Linked DNA regions of Notamacropus eugenii. The protein of the gene in region 1 purifies or fractionates together with the protein of each later gene. This does not show direct contact. Links are inferred from orthologs where the notes say so. Each region holds a gene or a part of one and is shown in the gene's direction. Other genes may lie near its edges.

Region 1 (12,201 bases):
GATGGGGTGCTGAAGATGTATCCCTTTAGTGTCTCCTGGACTTTGCTACATGGCCTAGTTCCTGGCATTTGCCTAAGGCATCTGGCCTATCCCAGTCCTCCTTGATTACTTAATTAGTTTACTTAACACTCCTTAATCCCATCTAGGCCCCCCTTTCTCTAGTTACCTCCACACCTCCCCAGGCTACTTGCCACTTCTTGATCCCACCCAGATTTTCTCAGTCTTTTTCTATATAAAAATCAGTCCCAGACTCATTAAATGCCCAGATTGTTAAAATCTGGCTGCTTGTATTGGCATAACAAATACTGCAGACTTGCAAAATCTCACCCACCCAACCCGCGTCTTAATAAACTTGCTCCTTGGATTGAAAGATGGATTGAGTAGTAAAATTCTTTCAAGGTGGACCCATGCCCTATATCCTTGCATTTCAGGGTTTCTAGAACCCTTATGCTGCATCAAAACCTTATTTCCATTTGGACAAAACTTTAGTTTTCTGAAGCACATTAGGAATGAAATACCAGAATAGAAATTGCTGAGATTCTATTCATTAAACATATACAAATTAAAGCATTTCTGAGGTACCACCTCACACCTCTCAGTTTGTCTAATATGACGGAAAAGGAAAATGACCAATAATATTGGAGAATTGGAAATATACACACATTTCAATATGTTGAAAATACACACACACACACACACACACACACACACACTCAAATTTCCTCAGCTTTTAGGGAAATCCCAGGAACCCTTTGGGGTACATGTAATAGTTGCCCTCTAGGGATCAAGCTTGATAGTAGCAGTAGAAAGGGGCAGAATTGGTTCATGGCATGTATTGATGGTTTCTTCTGTTACCAGGATTTTACTTACTTTTTATTAATGAAAAATAACAACGGGTCTTGATTCATTAGATTTCAGTTTCTTGTAACTGTTTATAACAAAAATTAAAGCAGTAAGTTCAGTGGGCAAATTTGTAATTATTTCTGAAAAAAATGTACTTTTAATATTTGAAACTTGAATGGATCAATGACTACTATGAGTACTGCCTCCAAAGGTGCAGACAAAAATCTTGACGGATCTTCTCATCTTGTGTGACTTTTCTACCTGTCTTTCCCTAATCCTCCACAGGGAACCACCCAGCATGGTAGAGATCTTCTCTCTCTTGACATTGTAGGCCAATAGAACACATTTGCTAGTCATTGGTTCATTGGTTATCATCTCATCTACAGTCTCCTGATCTATATATTGCACAGGACATGGATGGCTCTGGAGGAGAAAGTGAGGCTGGTGACTTTGCTCAGCCCTCCTTCACTTAAATCCAATTCACTTTTAAGTCATGGCATGACCTTTTTCATATCATGGTCCTCTTTGAGAATAAAGGACAAACAACAACAATTTCATACTTGTTATATGGTCAACCCAACTTTCTTTGTCTGTTCATATATCTCTGTGATGATATCTTTTATACAATCTTTCCTGAATAACTCTTTGTTGTTAATTCTATATGTTGCAGTCCATTACCTAATTCTTCATTGTCCTTTGCATGAACCAAAATTTTAATTTATCAAAGACATGCATGATTTCCAGTCATACAGCATTGCTGAAAGAACATCAGTGTTACAAAGACTGGCTCTTAGGTCAGGTAGGTGGTGCAATGGATAGAGCACTGACCCTGGAGGCAGGAGGATATAAGTTCAAAACCAGCCTCAGGTAAGTTACTTAACCCTAATTGCTACCAAAAAGCTGAGAGACTAGCTTCATGGGTTATCTCTCTATAGAATATTACAAAAAAGAAACTATATTTTAATATAGAGGAAATGACTTGTCAGTGATGGGGAAATCATTTCCAAATCTTTGCATGCCAGACAACTGGCTTATTAAAGATAAAAATCAATATTCTATTAGAAGAAAGAATGTCCTTCCTCTCTTCTCTATAACAGAAGAAGCCATGGAGTGCAATTGAAACAAATCTAACTTAATTATTTAGGATTTTAATAAGGCTGACAAAAAATTCAAAATGTTCAAACCACTGATAGGTGGAAAAAGTGATGAATATAGCAAAGTAAGAAGTAAGGGAAATTGTCAAATAATTACCTGAGAGAACGTACTGGTTCACTGAGAAGCATTTCTATACATTTAAAGAACAAACACTATTTGGCAAATTATCCTTTCTAAGCTTTAGTTTTCCCATCTGTGACTACATGGTCTCTAAGGTCCCTTTGAACTATATAACATAAATTTTTCTAGAATACAGACCACAGTGGTGTGTGACCCAATTCTTCTTATGATACAAATATATTTTTTCTTTGAAAATCTGACAAAGATGAAGCCAGAAATGAAAGCCACATGCCAACTTCTCTTTTGAATTTAGTTGTAAAAATACTAAATTAAATCTTAGCAAAGAGTATAACACATTCAAAAATCTCCGCCATGAACAAATATGGTTTGTCCCTGGCATGCAAGGTTGTCACAGAACAAGAAAAGTTACTAGGACAATGTATCACATTAAAAAGAATATAAAAATACAGGAAAATCTGGAATCTTTAGGAATAAGTGGTGCTCCCTCTACTAACATGGATAGCAGTACTAATTCAATATTATCTAGAAAGTATTCCATAACGTTAAATCACTATAATAGACTAGAACCCTAAATAAACTGGATGTAGAAAAGCTAAGTTAGGTGCCCAGGGAAGAGATGCTGCCTCTGATTTTAGGTGATATCCCATAAGTACTAATTCCTTGGACTACAGCTATGGTATTAGCATTCCCAATATATAGAACTGTAACTCATGAGCCCCCATCAGCTTTCTTTTAACAGCTAATTAATAGACTGACAGCTAGGGGCAGGCAGGTGGTACAGTGAGTTTGGAGTCAAGAAGACCAGACTTCAAATACAGCCTCTGATAGTTATTGGCTGTGTAACCCTGGGCAAGTCACTTGCCCAGTTTCCTGATAATAATAGCATCTATCTCCCGGGGTTGTTATAAGAATCCAGTGAGATAATAATTGCAAAACACTTAGCAGAATGCCTAGAATGCTATAGTAAATGCTGTATGAATGTTGGCTGTTGTTATTATTATTAGAACCAATTAACTCTTAAGAAAGACATTAACTTACATGGCATAGTAAGGACAGAAGCTATAAAGCATTTCCCTGTGAACTTGGGATGTACTTACCCATGACTGCACACAATATTTGTGGTAAGAGTGGTCACAAGGCACATCTGTAAGGAACACATGGCCAAGGCACCTCACAACTCTGGAACTTTAGGGTCTCAATGTCCTTTCTCTCTTCTCTACAATAAAACAGTATCTCCATTTCCTCTCCTCTCATTGTTTTCTAAATCCTTTATAAAGTCTGACTTACAAACTCATCATTCAACTGAAACTGTCCTCTCCAAAGTTATAGATAATCACTTACTTCTCAAATCTAATGGCCTTTTCTCAGTCTTCATACTTCTTAACCTCTCTGCAACCTTTGACACTGCCAATCAACCTTTTTTGGTCACAGCTAGGTAGCACAATGGATAGAGCTCTGGACTTGGAATCAGGAAGAACCAAGTTCTATTACTGCCTCAAACATTAGCATTATTCAATCATGTCCTATTCTTTGTGACTCTATTTGGGGTTTTCTTGGCAAAGAATCTAGAGCAGTTTGCCATTTTCTTCTCCAGTTCATTTTACAGATGAAGAAATGGAGGCAAGCAATGTTAAATGACTTGCCCAGTCACACATCTAGTTAGTGTCTGAGACCAAATGACTTTTCCTAAGTCCAAGCCAAGCACTCTATCCACTGTACCATGTAAGGGCCCCAGACACTGGCTGTATGATGTAAAACTCTTTGCTAACTATATAGTGCTATGAGAATTCTCACTGTCCTGGATTCTCAATTTTCATACCACTATGGTTCTCCTTCTACCCTTTGGACTACTTCTTCTCCATCCCTTTTGTGCTATCTTCATTAAGGTCATACCCACCAAACTTAAGTGTTCCTCAAGGGTTTGTCCTGGTCCTTTTTCTCTTTCTATACTATTTTTCTTCGCAACATCATCTCTGAAGGATTTAGTTATCAACTCTATGATGATGACTCGAAGATCCATTTATTCAGTTCTAACTTTCTTCTCCAATAACCTTTCAATAACCTATTAGACCTCCCAACATGTCCAAAAACATAACTCATTATATACTTAAACTCTTCCCTCTCCTCCAACTTCCATATTAATTTTGAGGGCATTGCCATCTTCCCAAGTCATCCAGACTCTAAACTGACTTACCTGCACTTATTCACTTTGTTGTCAAATGTTGTCATTTTTGCTGTTCAGCTGTTTCAGTTATGTCTGACTCTTCATAACCCCATCTGGGGTTTTCTTGGTTTGCCATTTCCTTCTTCAATCCATTTGACAGATGAAGAAACTGAGGCAAAGGGGGTTAAGTCACTTGCCTTTGGTGCCTGAGGTAGGATTTGAATTCAGGTTTTCCTGACTCCAGGCCTAGAATTCTATCTTCTATGATACCCAAGCTGTCATTTCTACTTTCACACCATCTCTTATACTCATTCATCAGCTATTCTGGTGCAGAGCCTCATCACCTCATTTCATGCAGTGTTGCAACAGCTTTCTGAGCTGCTCCAGGTCTCTCCTACTCCAATCCATCCTCCTTTCAATTTCCAAAGTGATTTTCCTACAGGGCAAATCTGACCATGTTACTTCCTCCCCCCACATGTTCAGTCATTTTTGAGTCATATCCAATTGTTGGTGACCCATTTTGGGGTTTTCTTGGAAGAGACATTGGAGTGGTTTGCCATTTCCTTCTCCAGCTCATTTGACAGATGAAGAACACAGACAAATGGGGTTCAGTGACCTGCCCAAGGTCACACAGCTAGTACGTGTCTGAGGTCACATTTCAATTCAAAACCATGAAGCTTTCTGACTTCAAGCTCACCATTCTATCCTTAAAGGCAGGGCCTTCTTTTTTTCTTTTTCTTTTCTTTGTATCCTGTTCATGGGACCCTCTCCTCATACAATACATAATAAGTGCTTAATAAATGCTCCTAGATTTGATTGGAAAAGGAGAAATATGAGAGAGAATGGGGGATGAAGTTCAAGAGTTTTGAATTGTCAAAGGAGAGAAAACTTTCTCTCCTTGACAGCCGTCAAGTCCAAATTGAAGAGTGGCTTAGTGAAGGATTATTTTCTTGGTCTGATCACACTCTAAGTTGCTGGTCCTTTTATATGAAAATGAACCACTCTGGGGCTTCATAGTAATTACTTGAGGAGGGGAAGTTGGGATTAGACTGATAATACCATTCCTATTCATACCATTCCTCCTTCACTATAAACACACACACACATACATATACACACACTTATGTACACACAAAGATAAATATGCATACACATACATATATACATATGTGTGCATGTATGTGTGTATATATGGATATATACATGTATGTATGTATGCATGTGTGTGTGTGTGTGTATATATATATATATATATATATATATATATATATATATATATATATATATATATATATATATATATATATAAAGAAACTTGCCTCAGAAGGTGAAATAAATTGTTCCAGGGTTTGCAGACATCACAAGTAAGTCATCATAGAAACTTGTACTGATTTTCTTTCACCATGCTAGCCCCCCAAATAAAACTTTCACAAACAGTAGAATCCTTGAAAGAAGGTACCCCTGGTATCACCCAAGATCAAGAAAGAGCTATGACTTTAAGAGTGTTTTTTGTGAAAATTGGAGAAAGATGGTCATCATTAACTTTTCCATTTTACTTCACAGCAAATAATAAAAAAATCTCTCTCTCTCCCTTTCTCTCTCTCTCTCTCTCTCTCTCTCTCTCTCTCTCTCTCTCTCTCTCTCTCTCTCTCTCTCTCTCTCCCTCCTCCTCCATTTCCCCCCTCCCTTTCTCCAAAAGAAAAAATAAGAAAAGAGAAAAGAAAAAACACATCCCTTAATGCTACTCTACTTTTTCCTTCATCACTAAGGGGATGGGTGTCAGTAGCACTTTCCCTTTCTACTGCTTTGGCGGACAGCTCCAGGAATTTCCTCAGAAAGTTTGACCTTCTGGGGGCTCCGTAGATCGCTATGCATTGTGGGCCTTAGCAATATGGCGTCCCCCTTGGTGTGCTGATGAGCGGAGTTTCTCTCTCTGTCCCTGGACGACGAGGGGAAATTCCTCAAGTCAAACGATCTCTTTCTCCGTCGCCCAGGAGGGTCCTGTACCTGGCGTTTCCCCTCTCCCTGCCCTCAGGCCTAAGGGAGTGGCGGGGAGCCTTTGGGCGGGGACGAGCCAGGCCTCGGGAACCCAGGGTAGACCTGACGGAAGCCTCCCGCAGGCGGACACTATGGGCCGATCTTGGCTTCGGCTGCAGCAGCTCCGGAGAGTGCGGGGTCCGCAGGGCTGAGAAGCGCCCCGAGGAGGATCCCTGTCCCCCGTTCCCCGTCGCCTAGCCCCCTCTCGGATCTCCCACCCGCCTGACCGGCGGCCCGCAGGCAGCGACAGCTTGCGACCTTCCCGCCCGCCTCCTCGGGATCGACCGGAGGCCGGTCCGGCCCCGGTGGCCTGGAGCAGGGTCATCGGAGGTCCGAGGGCTCCCACGCTTTTGACAGCTCCATTCTCAGCCAGCTCGGGGCTCCATCCGACAGCCCACGAAGAAGTCGGTGTGGCCTGAAGCCCGGGGGCGTGGGCCCCTGGCCCTGGGGTTCTTGGCATTCCCACGCGGAGATAAGCCTCGGGAACTTGGCCAGCCCCCCGCTCCATACTGGGACGGCCTCGCCAGTGCTTCTCTTTTCCCCGCATCCACCCCTCGTTCCCATATTTCATCCTTTCTGGTGCCCACGACTCTCTAAGGCTGGAGGTTCTCGAGCGTTTGTTGCCCAGGACTCCCCCACCTCCTCCCACCCTCATGGAGTCCGAGATGCTGCAGTCGCCTCTTCTCGGGCTTGGGGAGGAGGACGAGTCCGACCTGACCGACTGGAACCTGCCTTTGACTTTCATGAAGAAGAGGCACTGCGAGAAGATCGAGGGCTCCAAGTCCTTGGCCCAGAGCTGGAGGATGAAGGACCGGGTAAATAACCGTCCTCTGCTTCCCCTTTAACTGTGGTAATTTTCCCTCCAGGGGGATCTCAGTCTAGTCCGGGTGAAGCCCGGGGCAGTATCTTGGGTGTTGTGCGGTCCTGTCTACCAGCCACATGTTGCATATCTTCTGCACCTAACAATCAAGTGGTACTTCTGCTCTAGTTTTGTTTTGTTTTTTTAAAAGAAAGACCAGCCTGAAAAACTTCAGGTGACTGATAAAGTTAGAATTAATGTAGAAAGAAACTTACTTTATTTATGGTTACCATTTTGTATACAGCTCAAGGAACATATTCCCTGCCATTCTGGCTTGGAGAAGAGTCGATTACAAACCACAAACTATTGCTTATAATTAGTGATTAGTCTACTTTTTAAACTTTTACTACTAATTAAAATGAAAAAAGTAAATAGTGTGTGGTAATCACGTGGGGCCACAAGTAAATCTAAGTTATGGAATATGGTCAGAACTACTGCCGGAGGTGGCAGCTGGTGAGATAAACTTTTGTTTTCAAGATAGATATGGATTGGACCTGTGATTTTATTGCTATAGGGAGCTCTTAGGTAAGAAAAATTCTCAACAGTAATAATGCAGGTCTACATCGTGCAACTTGCTCAGAGCACTGAGAGGTTAAGGGACTTGATCTAGTCAATATGTATCAGAGGTGGGTCTGGAACTCCTGTATTCTTGGGCTTCTCTATATACACCATTCTCATGGACCCTCTGTTTTCAAGACCCAATCAGTTTTAACATTCTAAGTAACTTGTCATAACCCCAAACTTTCCATATTTTACATGGCAGGAAATTGGAGAGAGGATTTCCAGTACAGTGAATTAGGTAATGTGGTGGATCGCCATTCCAGGCTATTGTTTCGGGAGGGAGAGAAGAAACTACTTGTGTTGGCAGTGACTTTGGGAGGCTTCCAGTGGGGAAGAAGATGGGTTAGCCAGGTAGTATTACTGTATCTGATATTCATATGCATTGCATATCCACATAACTTTCATCACAATAACCAAAGAAAATGAGTTGGACTACCAATTTCCCAGCTTCTTTTTCCATTCATTTAAATCCAATTTCACTAAAGGTGAAATCTTTAGTATTCCCTTAAAAATCACAACAAATAGGTATAAAATTACACAGGAAAATTTCTAATTTAGCCAGTCATTAGTATTTTTGGTATTTTGGTGACTTTTACTTGTAAAATGAATGGAGAAGATCTTTCATAAGCCAAAAAGTAAAGTATAAATGATAAGATCCTCAAGAATTGTGGACATCCTTTGGAGTTAATGTATGTCTTTGATGCTATTTAAAGGCTTTGTAGTTCTTGTGGTTGCTGTGAGCGTTTGAATAGCAATATTTTGTAAAACAAATCCATCCAATTTTTTAAGTATAATCTTGGTGCACCCTGCTTTTTTTCTAAAAAAGCATCACATCTTGTTTTTAATATGACAGAAAAGTCTTTCATAATGACTAGTTGTGAAATGTAGCTCTTGTTCTAAATCTGATGTTTCATCTGGCCAAAAGTGATGTGATTTCTTTTAACTTTGACTTTTTAAAACTAAAATTCTAAGTTGGGAAAGGCAAAACTCCTTAATAAGCTCCTTACAGAACACTGAGAAGAAAAATAAAAGTCCTGTAGTTCTGAATACCTTACTGAGAAGAATATTTTCATTGGCTGTGAAAATAGTCTACACTATCAGTTTGTAAATGACCTTTTGGAGTAATTTTAGAACCAACTATTATCTTTCCATTCAAAGATGCCTTGGGAAGTTGGGTCCATGGCTTCTCTCTGATGAGCCACTTGAGGGGATGTCACTTAAGAAACTTCCATTAGAGAGACGACCGTAAGCAATCACTATGGTTCCAGGCATACAAGCCAGACTATTCCATTGTTCTAGAAGGCATCTTTCTTCATGGTTAATTGAACATCATACTCATCCAAAAGTTCTACTAAGTACCTGATTTCACTGCTTCATCATCGGATCACAGATTTAGAGTTGGTACTGACCTTAGAGACCAACTCTTTGATTTTGTAAGGCCCAGAAAGGGGAAGTAACTTACTCAAGGCCTCAGGTGGGATGTAGATCTGATCCCTGGTCTCAAGTAATTTAACCTGCCTGGGTGAGGGGGTATGAAAGTAGTAGAACAAATTCCATGAAGTAGATATTAAAGTAGCCATTACTTTATAATCATATATTGTATTGGCTATGCCAATCCATATTGGTAATTGCGTAGTAAACTTTTTAAGGGTAAGAGTGGGGTAGGGAGGTACAAGTTTAAGGTATTGGGTTGATAAAATGTAGCTTGAGCTTGGTGAAGGAAATTTGTCAGCACTTTTTTTTTTTGACAAATTTGGTAAGACTGCCAGATTTGTGTTCATTCACAAAAGAGGCCCTCACAATTGACTTCAAGGGGCAAAAGAGCCTCAGGCTATAGTTTATTGGAGGGACCCTCTTCAGGAACAGTGAGGGAACCAATCATGTACAGCATAACGAATCTCTTCTGTCAAGATGTGGCAACTGATACTGGTTATCCTCACCCTGGCAAAAATCAAATGTAACCCTAACATTATGTTGCCTATGTGTAGCTAGTTAGCAGTGCTCTGTTAAGACTCCTGCCTTACATTGAGCCATATGACATGGGTTAAGAAAAATAGCAAATTACTTCTGTTATTTCTATTGACAGATTAGATATTTATGAAAAATAACTCCCCACAGAATGATTGAACTTTTTTTCTCTTGTTTTCCTGAGGCATCTTCATCCCTCTCCTCTCCTCCCCCCCTCCATTGGTTGATATTTAAAAACTAAATTTAGTGTATGAATGAATACATCTTTTAGAAATATCAAAAATTTTGTACTATGATTTTTTCATTTTTCTGTTGAAAGGCTTTTCACTATCACCAAACTCTCATGGGATACATTTTGTCTAGCTACAAAAAGAAAATGGGAAAACCTGATGTTAAAATATTCTTTGTGAGTTCAGAAATGAATGAGAACATTTTTTCCCTCTCATTATCACTTTGTAGGATTCTGAAGTTGGTATTTTAATTAGAATGCAGGTGGTTATATATAGATGGATCATGGGATCATAACTGGAAAAAAATCTACTCCAACCTCCCTCATTTTACATACAAAAGAAACTGAGACTTCCCAAGTGTCACAGTTAGTAAGTAGTATTAGAGGCAGAATTTGAACCCATCCTCCTTTTCTAGAGATAGATCTCTTTTTGTCTATGCCAAAAGCTTATTCTCAACACCTTTTATTTTTAAAGGGAAACTAAGAGTAATATGTTAAAAGCCTAGAGAGGAGAGAGTATCAGTGAGGGAGAAGGTGGTCATTCGTGTCAGCTGTTGTCTCTGCCATGCTGCCTCTCCAGCTGCACCTACAGTTTTTTTTATCCCTTTCACCTTTTATTTAAAGTTGACTAAAATTCACTTTGGTCATCCACAGTACCTTGTTGCAGTAGGGCTACTTTTAACATTTCCTTTTTAGCATGATTCAGTTACCTAGAAAATGCTATTTCTGTGAAAGCACTGACATAATATGTTAATGTTTTAATTTTATTTTTAGAGATAAGGAGCAGGCTGACATCAGGTGCTGATAGTTGTGCCTTTGTAGAGAATTTGGAACCCTTAGAGATAGAATAGGAGTGCATATGAAACTAAGTGAAATTTTTTTTTCTGAAAAAAGATAATTTCTTACAGGAGCTAAGTATATCTAGTCCTCAATATTATGTTTTTTTCAAATTAAAAAAATCATTGACCAAATTCATATATTTATTCTTAATTTTTGAATAATGTCAACCATCACTATCAGTAAAACCCTCCACCCACAACATTGAATTTTTCTGTTGTTTCATTATATTCCAACCTTAACTCATAATACTTACATGCAAAGGGAGGTGCCTGGTACATAGTAAAAACTTGATAAATGCTTGTTGACTGACTGTGCTTGAGTGTGTGGGGGAGGCCAGATATAAATGAAATGTTACTAGAACTTAATTACACTGGTGAGACAATATACAGCCATATGAAAAGTTAAGTAAAAATACAAGGTAATAATTATTAAAACACATTTGAATAATGCTATAATTTAAGGAAGACTATTTGAAGTTCCAAGAATTGAGGTTATTAGACATATAGAAAAGGCTTCTGAGATCAGTAAGTTGATTCTCAGTACTTAGTGCAGAAGTTCTTTCCTTATGGCTATTGTAATGTTACCATACTTCTTTAGTATATTTCATATTAAAATTGTCATTCTTATGAAAATTGCCTCTGAGTTTTGAATGGATCCTGGAGGCTTTTAAAACCTATTGCTTAAATATAAGAAACATTTGGTGGGTAGATTAGGCTGCAGCTGCGTAGTGCTCTAAGCTTGAATTAAGAGGTAATGGTATCTGAAACTCCTTTTAGTGGTTTTATTTTAGAGTTGAAACAAGTAATCTCATCAAAATTTTCTCTGTTCAACAGAAGTTCCCTCTCATTTAATGTAGGAATCTCTTCAAGACAATCCTTGACAGATGGTTGCCTAGCCTGTACTCTAATACTTCTAGCAAAATTAGTAGTTATATTAACTAGGTCATTATATTATTTATTATATTTATGTGATGTTTATTATTATACAATATGTTATATAATATTTTTATGTTATATATATTATATATAAGTTATATTATATATATGTATACTACTGGATACTACTGTATACTTCCAGAGAACCTACCTACTATCAATCAGTGGCCTTCTGCCCACACTTTTAAAGGCCTAAAAAGTACCCTACTTGTCAATTAAAATATAACACTTCCTTTTTTTCCCCCAAGGAAATTGTAATTTGAGCTGAATCTACTTCCTTTTTTCCTCTTGTTAGTTACATTTATTCTAACTTCAAATTGAGGATGTCACATTTAAATTTTTGTCAATTGTAGCATAGTTGAAGAAGCAGGGAAAAAAAGCTGTTTCATGTGGTAAGCCTTTATGTTGACTTCCTTATTGATAAAAGAAGATAACACCTGTTAGCCTGGAGCTAATTGTCTTGCTTTTAGATCAATCAGTTCACTTTCACTTCTTCCTGTTCCATTTTCCTCTTTCACTTTTTTTGCTG
Region 2 (12,127 bases), on another chromosome or scaffold:
CTCAAACTGAACATGTCTAAATCAACTTGTTTACTTTCTCCTCCAATCCTCCCCTCTTCCAAGCTTCCTTATTACTGTCTACAATGCTACTACTGGGAGGACCCAGTTACTCAGGCTCAAAACCTTGGAGTCATTGTTGATTGCTTATTTTCACAGTACATAGCCAATCCATTGCCAAATCTTGTTTCTACCTTTACAACAGCTTTCATATAGATATGCTCTCTCCACTCATAAAACCACCACCCTCATTACCCCAGTCCTTCATCCTCTCTTGACTGAACTATTGTGAAACCTTCTATTTGGTGTCCCTGGCTCAAGTCCTTTCTCACTCCAACCCAATTCATTTTCCATTCAGCTGTCAAAGATATTTTTCCCACCTACTCTTTATATATCTGGTATGTCCATAGATGTTTGCACGCTATCTCTCTCATTAGAATGTGAGTTCCTTAAAAGCAAAACTGTTTTCACTTTTGTATTCCTAGCATGTAGCACAGTGCTCAGCATATAGTAAGTGCTTAATAAATGCTTATTGATTGACTAACTGATGGAATGTCAAGATATTGCCATAATGATACTCCAAATTCAGTTATATTATTGGGGGTAGGTGATAGACACTCTCTGTTTTTCTGCATCTGTTTATGGTCTCCTTTGATTCTTTTGCTTCATTTACATTTTCTTTAACGTGATATAAAGGCTGCCTGATACTTGAAACCCACATGGGAGCTATGGATTCTTTTTCTCTACTTTGGGAGAAATCCTTCGCATAAGCTATACCATGATTTTACTAGCAAATTTTCCTGGAGCAACTCCAGGTAGGCAATGAGTTAAAATGAGAAAATGATACTTTGATGTAAGGCCCCAGGACTGGATGAGATGGTGCTCCTTAGATACCTCCAACGAAAGCTTATGCTTTTTAATCCCATGAAGCTGATTGGGGAATTCATCAAATTGAGTAGGGACTCCCTTGATCCAATCCTATGACAGCTAAAATCCAGTACAGTATAATAGAGCCGTTATATAATAGGTTACATGTTTTCAAGTTCTAGGCTACAATTTGGCAATAGTTTATTCAGTAGAGACACTGGTAGCAATCTAGGCAAGTTAATCTGAGGAATAATTTTATAATTGTGTGTTGGGATGAAGAACTATTACAGTTACTCAGTTGTCTGAGAATTGGTGCTAAATGGTGGAAGAAGACTGTCAGAGTTGTTGCTTTAGGATGGTATACTGTATACAATAATGAAAACATTGATTCCATTATGCTGTAACCTCTCAGGATGCATAAGGTACTGAATAAGGCACACAAGAAGGAAGATAATGCAGTTGTTATGCTGCATGAGCTGCCTGAAACCGTCGAAATTTGCCTATCCCCAAAGAGATAACCACAAAGGAAGGCATTTGAGAACTGGTTACTTAACTTGCCATCAGTGACTAGGAATTGGTGAGCAACTTTAAAACCCCCGGGGTAATAAATGAATGAACTGAGAAGGATGTACATGTCCTGTAGGGAAGAGATGCCCTCCTCCCTTCTCAGCAGCAAGTGACCCAGGTATAGCACCCTCCTCAGTCAGTTCATAAACATTTATTAAGCACCTACTATGTGCTGGTGACTGTGCTAAGCGATGGGGATACAAAAACAAGCAAAAGATAGTCGCTTATCCTTAAGGAGCTAACAAACAAATATGTACAAACATGTTCTATGCAGGTTAAATAGGAAATACTTAAGAGAGGGAAACAACTAAAATTGAGACAGGTTGGGAAAGGTTTTTTGTAGAAGATGGGTTTTTAGCTGGGACTTAAAGGAAGCCAAAGAAGCCAATAGGTGGGGGACAGCCAGAGAAAATGCCCAGAGCCACGAGATGGAGTATCTTGTTCATGGAACAGCCAGGAAGCCAATGTCACTGGATCAGAATATGTGGCAGGTAGAAGTCACCTAGGTTTGAAAGACAAACAGGATTTTGTATTTGATCCTAGAGGTGATAGGGAGACATTGGAGTTGACTGGGGTGGGTGAGGAGTGGTGTGATCAGACTTGTGCTTTAGGAAGGTCAAATATGAATCAAATATGGATTGGAGTGGGGAGAGATAAGGCCGACAGATGAACATCCAGTGCCCTGTTCAAACAGCTGCAAAGTCTACTTCCAGATGACTGGCTATTAGTCAACAAGTTACAGTCATGGGGGCAACAACATGGAAATTCCAGTCATTTTCAGGATGCATCACTGCCTATTAGAATATGTCCTAGCTAGGACATGCCACAAAAATGAGGCAAGAGGGTTGGGGACTGCTGCAGATAAATGTAAGTGATATCTACTGAGCCTCAGGGAACCTGCCTTTGCCTTATTTTATTCATCATATCATGGGGGACTGGCCAATGAGGGCTTGATTCAGGGAGCATGCTCAATAGGTTCTGCCTGCTGGCAACCCAGGCAAGCTAATCTAAGGAGAAAGCTAAGGAGTTTATGAGCTGATGAGATCTCTCTCTCTCTCCATTTCTCTCTCTCTCTCTCTCTCTCTCTCTCCCCCTTTCCCTTTTCCTCTCTCATATGTGTACATCTTTACATGTCTGTACATCATTACATGTATGTACATCTTTATATAAGTATATATTTACATATATGTACATCTTCACATATATACAGAGAGAGATCTAGAACAGAGTATTGGGTAAAATCTCTTTTTCAAGTGTAATAGAAATGGAGAAGTACCCTTAAAGAAGGGAATAGTCAAAGAGATTGGAAGAGTAAGATGAAAATGTAGCATAGCCTGTACTTGGCATGGATTGTCCCTCTGGGCTGCCTCAGTCATTCAGCCTTCATTCTCCCAGTTAGTCTGGATTTCCCAGAGAGGGGTATGCCAAGCTGCCCCAAATCAAAGCTCTCTGTTGGGGTCTAAGGTAAGGTAGGGATAGAGCTAGAAGCCATCTAGGTTGTCTGCCCCTGGCTTCATGTGATTCCTTTTGTTCTCTGCTTCCTGGCCTACTTCTCCTTCTGTCTAAACTACAGTTTCTTCTCCTGCTCTTTTCTTAATCTCCTCTAATGCTTCCTAGTGGTCAGTGACTCATACCTTATGAGGTAAAACTCAAGAAATCCTTCTTTTCATTGCACCTTCATATTCTATCAGTTCATAAACTCCCTAGACTTAAAGATACCTTGTCCATTGCAGAATCTTCCACCTAGAGACGGAAAATGGAGGCCCAGAGGTGCACAGGTAATAAGTGAAAAAGGCTGGACCAGAATGGCAAGTCAACTCACTTTGAACTCAATATTTGCATTTGTACTTTGTACCACATCACCCTGCTCCCATTACCCCCAGCATCATTACCTCCTCTGTCCCCTTTCTGGTGAAGTCTAGCTGTTCTTTAAGAGCATCCCTATCTATAGGTCTGCTCAGATCCTAGATACCTGCCTCTCCTCTCCTTAAGGACTCTATGTCTGCTTTTCTGCTCAGGAGCTACATGTTTAACTGCCTTTTAAGGCTGCTATTCCTATTAGGACCTAGATTTCCATCTGTCCACTCAGATTTTAAATGTCAGTCTATCTCTTCAGGGTTTAAATATTTCCATTGGGTGCCCATCTGCCTCTTTCAGTATTTGGATGTCTCTGTCTTCACTTTATGGCCTAGTTGTCTTTATTTCTCAAAAAGCTTGGATGTTGGTCTATCTACTCCGATCTTGGATTCTTGTCTCTTTCAGGGCCTGGAAATCTACCTGTCCCAGTCAAGACCTCTGTTCCCTCAGGGCACATGTGTTCTGTTTCTCCTTTCCAAAGGTTGAATATGATAATGCATAATTACAGAATGAAAGAATCAGATCTCTGGAGCTAGAAGGGACTTCAGGGGCCATTTATTCCTATACCCACTAGAAAGATAAGAAAAACAGAGACCTAAGAAAGTCTAAATGATTTACCCAAGACCACACAGATGGTAAGATTGGTAGGAGCTGAATACAGGTCCTTTGACTTCGAAGCTGATTAATTCACTTTCTACTGTGACACACTGCTTCCGGGTGTGATACCTGTCCTCTCCAGACTGAGATGTCCATTTTTTCTCTAATGGGCCCTTCATGTCTGTCATTTTCAAAGCCTAATGATTAGACCCTAATATCTGTCTCTGCCCTTCAGAACTGGAAGTCTGCTCACTCACTCAGCTAGGTGGCTAAATGGATAGAGCACAGGGCCTGGAGTCAGGAAGACCTGAGTTCAAAGCCAGCTCAGATACTTACTAGTTGTGTGACCCTAGGCAAGTCATTTAACCTCTGCTTGCTTCAGTCTCCTCAACTGTAAAATGGAGATCGATAATCACAGCACCTACCTCATCAGGTTAGGATTAAGATCAAATTAGACAACATACTGAAAAAGTGTTTAGCACAAGTGCCTGGTGCAAAATAGGTATTTTTTTTTTAAATGCCTGTTCCCTTCCCCTTTCCTTATCTGGTGACCCTGGGTGTATTTTTCCTCTCTGAGTCAAGTCTGACTTGGTCTCTCTTTTTCAGGACCTGATTGTTTATTTCCTCTGGGTCTGAATATCCAATTGCCCCAGTCTGTATGTCCCTCCCAAGGAAGGGCAAGGAGTTATCTCTCCTCGATTTGAAAAAGAACATCTCTCCCCTCGCAACCTTGGGTGTTTTCACCCTCTATCCCTTTAGAGCCTGACCCTGTGTCATTGATAGGTCCTGAATATTTATCTGTTCTCTGAGAATCCACTGTCAGTCAATATCTGAAAAAGCTTGAATATTTTTCTTTCCCCTCAAAGTCAGATGTCTCTGTCTATCCCTTTCAAGACCTGAGTATCAGTCTGTCCCCTCAACAATTCAACAAACATTTATTGTCTACTCTGTGCCAGGCACTGTGCTAAGGTAAAAGACCCTGCTCTCAAGGAGACTAACAGGGGAGACCACATGCTATGTACACACAAAATACATAAATGATGAGTTGGAGAGAATGAACAGAGGGAAGGCACCAGCATTGATAGAGGATTGGAAAGTGCCATTTGTGTCTAAGCTACCAAGGATCCAAACAAACACACACACACACACACACACACACACACACACACGTTTCTGCTCTCAAAGAGTTTATAAGCTTATATTCAATGTTTGACTAATTACATAGTTCCGTAAATACAAGATAATATAAAGAGGGAAAGGATACTAACAACTAAAGAGAAGAAGAAAGGCTTTCTATAGGAGATAGTCCTTGAATTGAACATTGAAAGGAGTGATAGATTCTAGGAAGGAAAGATGAGAAGAGATTATATTACCAAATTCAGGTAGTGCTAAATAGCTCAGTGCTGCTGGAATGTAGAACACATAAAAGGGAACAATGTGAAATAAGAGTGGATAGATTGGGTGGGGCTAGATTTAAAATGCCAATTTAACATGCTTTTATTGGGCAATTGGGTGGTCCAATGCCAGTGCTGGAGTCAGGAGGACCTGAGGCAAATCAGGCCTCAGATACTTACTAGCTGTGTGACCCTGGGCCCAGTCACTTAACCCTCTTTGCCTTAGTTTGTAAAAAGTTTGTAAAAGAAGCTGGAGAAGGAAATGGCAAATCACTCCAGCATCTTTACCAAGAAAACCCCCAAAAGGGTCATAGAGAGTCAGAACTGACTGAAACGATTCAACAACAAATTTAGTTAGATACCGTGTTCAGTGCTAGGGATACAAAGGCAAAAGGAAAAATAATATCTGTCCCTTAGAAGTTTACAGTCTGCTGAGAGGATACTACATTCCACAGTAGGTAAATACAAGATACTTTGAGAAGGGAGAAAATGGTAACAAGGAAAGTGATTAGGAAAGGCTTCCTGTAAGGAGATAACCTACAAGTTGAGCCTTAAAGTAAAGGAAGACATCTAACTGTTAGGGGTTCAGAGGATTGTAGGTGTGAAAAATGGAAGGTTCAGGGCATGCTCTGTAAGTCAGTTTGGTTGGCATAGGGGAAGAAGCTGAAATAATGCTGGAAAGGCATTTTGGTGCCAGGTTGGGTTAAATTCCAGGTGAAGGAATATGTGTCTTATCCTAGGGGAAATAGGGAATTTTTGAGCAAGGAAATGACATGGTCAGGCATTAGGAAGATTTTTTTGGTGGTTATATATAGAGAATGACATAGAGAGAGGAGAGAGTAGAAGCAGGGAGACCTATTGGAAGGCTACTGTAGTAATCCAAGGGAGAAGTGAGGAGTGTTTGAACTGGACAGGAGGCCAGGTGAATGGATGGATTCCAGAAACTAACAATACTCAACTACTGATTGTTTGGGGGAGGAATAATAGTGGTTCTCTTAATAAAAATAGGAAGTTTATAGCAAAAGTAGGTTTGGGCAGCTAAGTGGTTCAGTGGGTAGAGTGCTCAGCCTGAAGTCAGGAAGATTCACTTTCTTGAGTTCAAATCTAGACTCAGACATTAGCTGTTTGACCCTGGGCAAGACATTTAACCCTGTTTGCCTTAGTTTCCTCATCTGTAAAAATGAGCTGAAGAAAGAAATAGCAAAGTACTCCAATACTTTAAAAACCCTAATGAAGTCATGAAGAATTGGATAAGACTGGTGAGCAACAAAGGTCTGGGGATAGGGATGGAAGACATGGAGTTCAGTTCTGGACACGTTGAATCTGAGATGGAGGAAGGGGAGAGCCACCCAAGATATCAGAGGATGATGAGGCTCAGCAGGCAATTATTTGGTTATGTGGCTTGAAGTTTAGGAAAGATGTTAGTCAGTCAGTAGTCAACAAGCAATTCCTAGCACTTAACTGTGCCACAGGAACTGTGCTAAGCACCAAGGACGTAAAGAAAATTTTAAAAACTTGGTCCCAACTCTAGAGGATCTTACATTTTAAAGAGGGAAACTTGGAAATACATACATACATCTACATGTATATACATATATATGGTATATATAAACAAGTGTGTATTTATATGGAAAAGGAGGAAGAGAGAGAAGGAGAGAAGGAGAGAGAGAGAGACACAGAGAGAGAGAGAGAGACAGAGAGAGAGAGAGAGATTGAGATTGGGAACTGACAAGATCACCAAGAAAGAAATTACAGAAAGAAAAGAGAAAGCCCCGGACAGAGATGAATGGAGAGGAAACAAAGGAGACGGAGGAGTAGTTAGACAGACAGAAGGAGAACCAGGAGACAGAAGCATTTCAAATCCAAGGGAAACAGAATATCCTGAAAGAGGATGTGGTCAGTGCAATCAAAAGCTGCAGAGGTCAAGAGGGATAAAAGCAGAAGAAAAAAGACATCGTGTTTAACCCTTACGAGCCTGCTGGTAAACCTGCACCTCGCCTAGCGCTTGGTGGGCATTTCATAAGCGCCTGCTGAATAAAGATGTGAGAGAAAGAGGAGATGACAGCGGGGGCGATCTGATGAGAAGCAGGGGTACGTGGACAGGGGCTGACCTTCATCGGAGTCGGTATAAAGGGGGAGAGAAATGGGGAGGGGCTGAGAGAAGGGGAGAAGAGGGAGCTAGGGACAGGTTGCCCCAATTTAATGTCCCCATGACAGGACGATGCCAGGTCCTAGGCTGGGGGGCTGGAAGGTGGGGGTGCGCTGCGAAGAAGCTGCAGTGGGAGGAGAAAAGGGGTCCAGAGCCGATGCGGTGCGGAGAACCCACTAGGAAGGAGCAGAAGCTTCAGAGAAGCTCGGCGGAGAGGAGACAACATCAATTGGTAGTGGATGTGGTTGAGCCCACGGCCTGTGCAAGGTCACGTGCTCTCATTTCTGCTGCGCACAGCGGGGGTCCCCTTCAGGTGGGGAGGTGTATGGTGGTCAGCACTGTCCGATGGGGCAGAAAGGCCCACGAGGCTAAGGACGGAGAAAAGGTCATTAGATTGGGCCACCAGGACTTCAATATGCAAATGAGACGCAAGGGGACAGCCCCAGGGGGCTCCTAAGGAGACGAGAAGTTCCCCCCACCACGCCGAACTATGGTCTCATCCAGTTTCCCTTCCCCCTCCTCTCCCATGGTTTCGCCCTAGAGCTAAAAGAATCCAATCGATGATGCTATGCTCAGGTTCGCTGCCCATCGATTCGTTCCGACTCTCCCAGCCGTCCTGAGCCCCGGTGGAGAGGGGATCCTTGTGTGAGTGAGGTACGGTGCCTGGGTCCCTGCGGCAGGGGGCTCGGGAGGCAGATTGCGCGGCGTCGGGGGCAGAGAGGGGAAGCTTTAGGCAGCCGGCGCGACTCCACGCACGGACCCGGGCTGGGACTGAGCTTAAGGTGGCTCCCGACCCTAAAAACCCCCGCCTCACAGACTTGACTGTGTCGAACTGAGCATGCGCGCCATGGCAGCGGCGGCGGCCGAGGCTTAATCTCGGCGGCTGCCCCCCTTCGCCTCCCCATCGCCCCTCCCTCCTCTCAGGCCTTGCGCCTGCGCTTCGCACGGCTGCGCCACTCCCTGGCCTGGCAGGCGGTGGCTGCCCCCTTGCGGCTGCCACGCAAATGCGGGCTGCAGGGCTGACCGCCCTGCAGGGGGTCCCACCTACCTTGTTCCTTGTGCTCGGGGAGGGTGAAAAGGGGACAGCCTCTTTTTCCTTTGAGAGGGGGTCCGACCTTCTGGAACTTGGGCTCCTAGAAGCCAGAAGAGGTGCTTCAGGAGCGGCCTCATGCATTCAGCAGACACCTGTGCGTGTAAACGCTTGTTACTGTTGGTGTCCCTGAAATCGACCAGAAGCTTGTCGATTTCAGGCCCTGCGCAGACAGGACCTGGGCCGTTTTCTGCAGTGCCCTTGCACAGTGCCTTCTCCTCGGAATGGGTATCTGTACAGGCAGCACTTAGCATAAGGTGCTGCACCCAGTAGGTGCTTAATACTGTGCTAGACTGTTAAGTACCTATTTTCTGCAATGCGAACATCCAAGACCTATTTCTGCCTTCATAGAGTTAGAGAGTACAGAGCACATGGTGGAAATTGTTTTGTCATCCCATGGCTGTCTATGAAGCAGAGTGTATGTGAGGAGGAATGTTCTGGGCTGGGCCAGATCCAGGTCAGAACTGTAATTCAGATTCAGTATTGAAACAAAATGGGACAGTCACTTAACATTTATTAAGCACCTAACTATATGCCAAGTGTTGTGGAGACAAGGAAAAAGAACACTCAGATCATTCAGCAATTGGAAGAGTGGGTAGAAAGCTGGGTCTGGAGTCAGGAAGTCTTGAGTTCAAATATGACCTCAGATATTAACTGCCTGTATCACCCTGGGCAAGTCACTTGATTTCTTGGTTTTCTCAGTTCCCTGAACTATAAAATGAGGATAGTAATAGCACCTACCTCCCAGGTTTTTTGTGAGGTTCAACTGAGATGATATTTGTAAAAGGTATTTAGCATAGTATCTGGCACATAGTAGATTTCTGTTCCTGTCCTTTCATAGCTGCAGGATATCCAATAAAATTAAGCATGGAAGACATCTCTAGTTGATTCAACTGAATGAAGCTCTCATCTAAAGACAATGAATGTCATACATTTTCCAGCAGCCAGATATAGATAACAACTGAAGTTCCTCCTGGCTGTTTTGTGCTCAAGCAATGAGGAAACCAGTTCATCAGCCTGAGCCTTTGGTTCAATACTTTTTTTTAATGATTTGACCAAAATTTCTTATTTAAATAAATCTCTTTCATGCATAAGTATGACGCATTTCCCCACCATTTTATTAGGCTTTGACAGCTAAAAAAAATCAGTCAACCTTGTACAGAACAGTGAAATGCCAAGAAGAAAAGATACTGTAGGTTATGTATTTATATGTACACATACATATATTTATCTGCATATATACAAATACAGAGATATATTTGTTAAAGGCCTTTCTTTGGTTTTATCAACTATAATTTTAGGTCACTAAAACCAGATTTTTTTAAAATAGTATTTTCTTTTTCCCCAATTACATGTAAAGACAATTTTTAACATTCATTTTTTATTTTTACAATTTTGAGTTCCAAATTTTTCCACTCCCTTTTTCACCTCCCCCCTCTGAGACAGTAAGCAATTTGATATAGATTATACATGTTCAGTTATGTAAAACATATTACCATAGTAGTTATGTTGTGAAAGAAAACACAGACCCAAAGGAAATAAATACAGAAAGTGAAAAATAGTATGATTTGATCTGCATTCACACTCCATCAGTTCTTTCTCTGGAGGTGGATAGCATTTTTCAGCATGAGTCCTTTGGAATTGTCTTAGATCTTTGTATTGCTGAGAACAGCTAAGTCATTCACAGTTTGATCATAGTACAGTATTTCTGTTACTAGGTACAATGTTCTCCTTAATCTGCTCACTTTGTTTTGCATCAGTTCATGTAAGTCCTTCCAGGTTTTTCTGAAATGAGCCTGTTCACCATTTCCCATAGCACAGTAGTATTCCATTACAATCATATATCACAGCTTGTTCAGCCATTCCCCAGTTGATGAGCATCCTCTCAGTCTCTAAATCTTTGCCACCACAAAAAAAGCTGCTATGAATATTTTTGTACAATTGGTTCATTTTCCTTTTTTTAATCTCTTTGGGATATGGATCTAGTAGTGGTATTGCTGGATCAGAAAGTATGTACAATTTTATAGCCCTTTGGATGTAGTTCCAAATTGCTCTCCAGAATGATTGGATCAGTTTACAACTCTACCAACAGTGTATTAGGGTCCCAGTTTTCCCACATCCCCTGCAACATTTATTATTTTCCTTTTCTGTCACGTTAGCCAATCTGATAGGTGTGAGGCGATACCTCAGAGTTGTTTTAACCTGCATTTCTCTAAACAATAGTGACTATGACTATAGATAGCTTTGATTTCTTTGCCTGAAAACTGTCTATTTACACCCTTGACCATTTATCAATTGGGGAATGACTTGTATTCTTATAAATTTGACTCAGTTCTGTATATATTTGAGAAATAAGGCCTTTATCAGATTTTCCATTTCAGTTTACTTGGTGTAAAATTGTTTCCCAGCTTTCTGCTTCCCTTCTAATTTTGGTTTTGTTTTGCATTGGTTTTGTTTGTACAAAACTCTTAATATAATCAAAATCGTCCATTTTAGATCTAGTAATACTCTCTGTCTCTTCTTTGGTCATAAATTCTTTCCTTCTCCATAGATCTGACAGGTTAACTACTCCTTGCTCTCCTAATTTGCTTATGGTCTCATCCTTTATGTTTAAATCATGTACTCATTTTGATTTTATCGTGGTATATGTTGGTCTATGCCTAGTTGCTACCATATTCCTTTCCAGTTTTCCCAAAAGTTGTTGTTAGATAGTAAGTTCTTGTCCCCGAAGCTGGGGTCTTTGGGTTTATCAAATACTAGACTACTATGGTCATTTCCTACTAAGTCTTGTGTGACTACTGTGTTCCACTGCTCCACCACTCTGTTTCTTAACTAGTACCAGATAGTTTTGATGATTACTGCTTTATAATACAATTTGAGATCTGATATGGCCAGGCTACCTTCCTTTACATTTTTTTCATTAATTCTCTTGATTTTTGTTTTTCCAGATTAATTCGAAATTAATTTTACGATTTTTTTCTAGCTCTGTAAAATAATTTTTTTGTAGTTTGAGTGGTATGGCACTGAATAAATAAATTAATTTAGGTAGAATTGTCATTTTTATTACGTTGGCTTGGCCTACCTATGAGCAATTACTATTTTTCCCATTGTTCAGATCTGACTTTATTTGTGTGAAAAGTATTTTGTAATTGTGTTCAAAGTTCCTGGGTTTAGGATAGATACCCAAGTATTTTATATTGTCTACAGTTATTTTAAATGGAATTTCTCTTTCCTTCTCTAAAGATAGATTATGAAAATTATTCTTTAAGTTCCCTAAGATGCCCATTGCTGTCACTGTCCACCATAATCCAGGCCACTTCTGCATTTCATCAATAATGTTATCTGTAAAGTCTCCCCAAATGAGGATTGCCTGAGGGACCTCAGGAAAGTTTCTGAGCGAAAATGGTTTATGTTTAAAAAGGCTAATTTCAGAAGTTGCAAGGCTGCATATCTTCGTTAGATATTTCTTCTTTGTTCTAGGAATTTTGGCTATCCTAACCTTTGGCAGCACTCTTCTTTTTTTGTTTTATTTGGCTCTTTCCACCTGTCTTGTGTTATTTTCTTCTCTTTCTCTTTTTCTCTTCCACAGTGAATTTTATAAACTCATTT

Evidence for each region.
Region 2: the proteins of RPTOR (region 1) and MLST8 purify together in Homo sapiens (affinity purification with western blotting; 15 studies listed by BioGRID and IntAct, with this or other methods). This does not show direct contact. The link is inferred for Notamacropus eugenii from reciprocal best matches to the Homo sapiens genes RPTOR and MLST8.

The regions. Positions count from the first base shown.
Region 1 is NC_092873.1:323,390,264-323,402,464, forward strand, and holds the start of RPTOR (regulatory-associated protein of mTOR), read left to right. Parts: upstream 1-6,114; 5' UTR 6,115-6,933; coding exon 6,934-7,095; intron 7,096-12,201. UniProt on the Homo sapiens protein: Component of the mechanistic target of rapamycin complex 1 (mTORC1), an evolutionarily conserved central nutrient sensor that stimulates anabolic reactions and macromolecule biosynthesis to promote cellular biomass generation and growth.
Region 2 is NC_092872.1:47,795,502-47,807,628, reverse strand, and holds the start of MLST8 (target of rapamycin complex subunit LST8), read left to right. Parts: upstream 1-7,261; 5' UTR 7,262-7,370; intron 7,371-7,993; exon of another isoform or gene 7,994-8,082; intron 8,083-8,476; coding exon of another isoform or gene 8,477-8,772; exon of another isoform or gene 8,773-8,856; intron 8,857-12,127. Other genes in the region: hexosaminidase D-like, read right to left, coding at 8,477-8,772.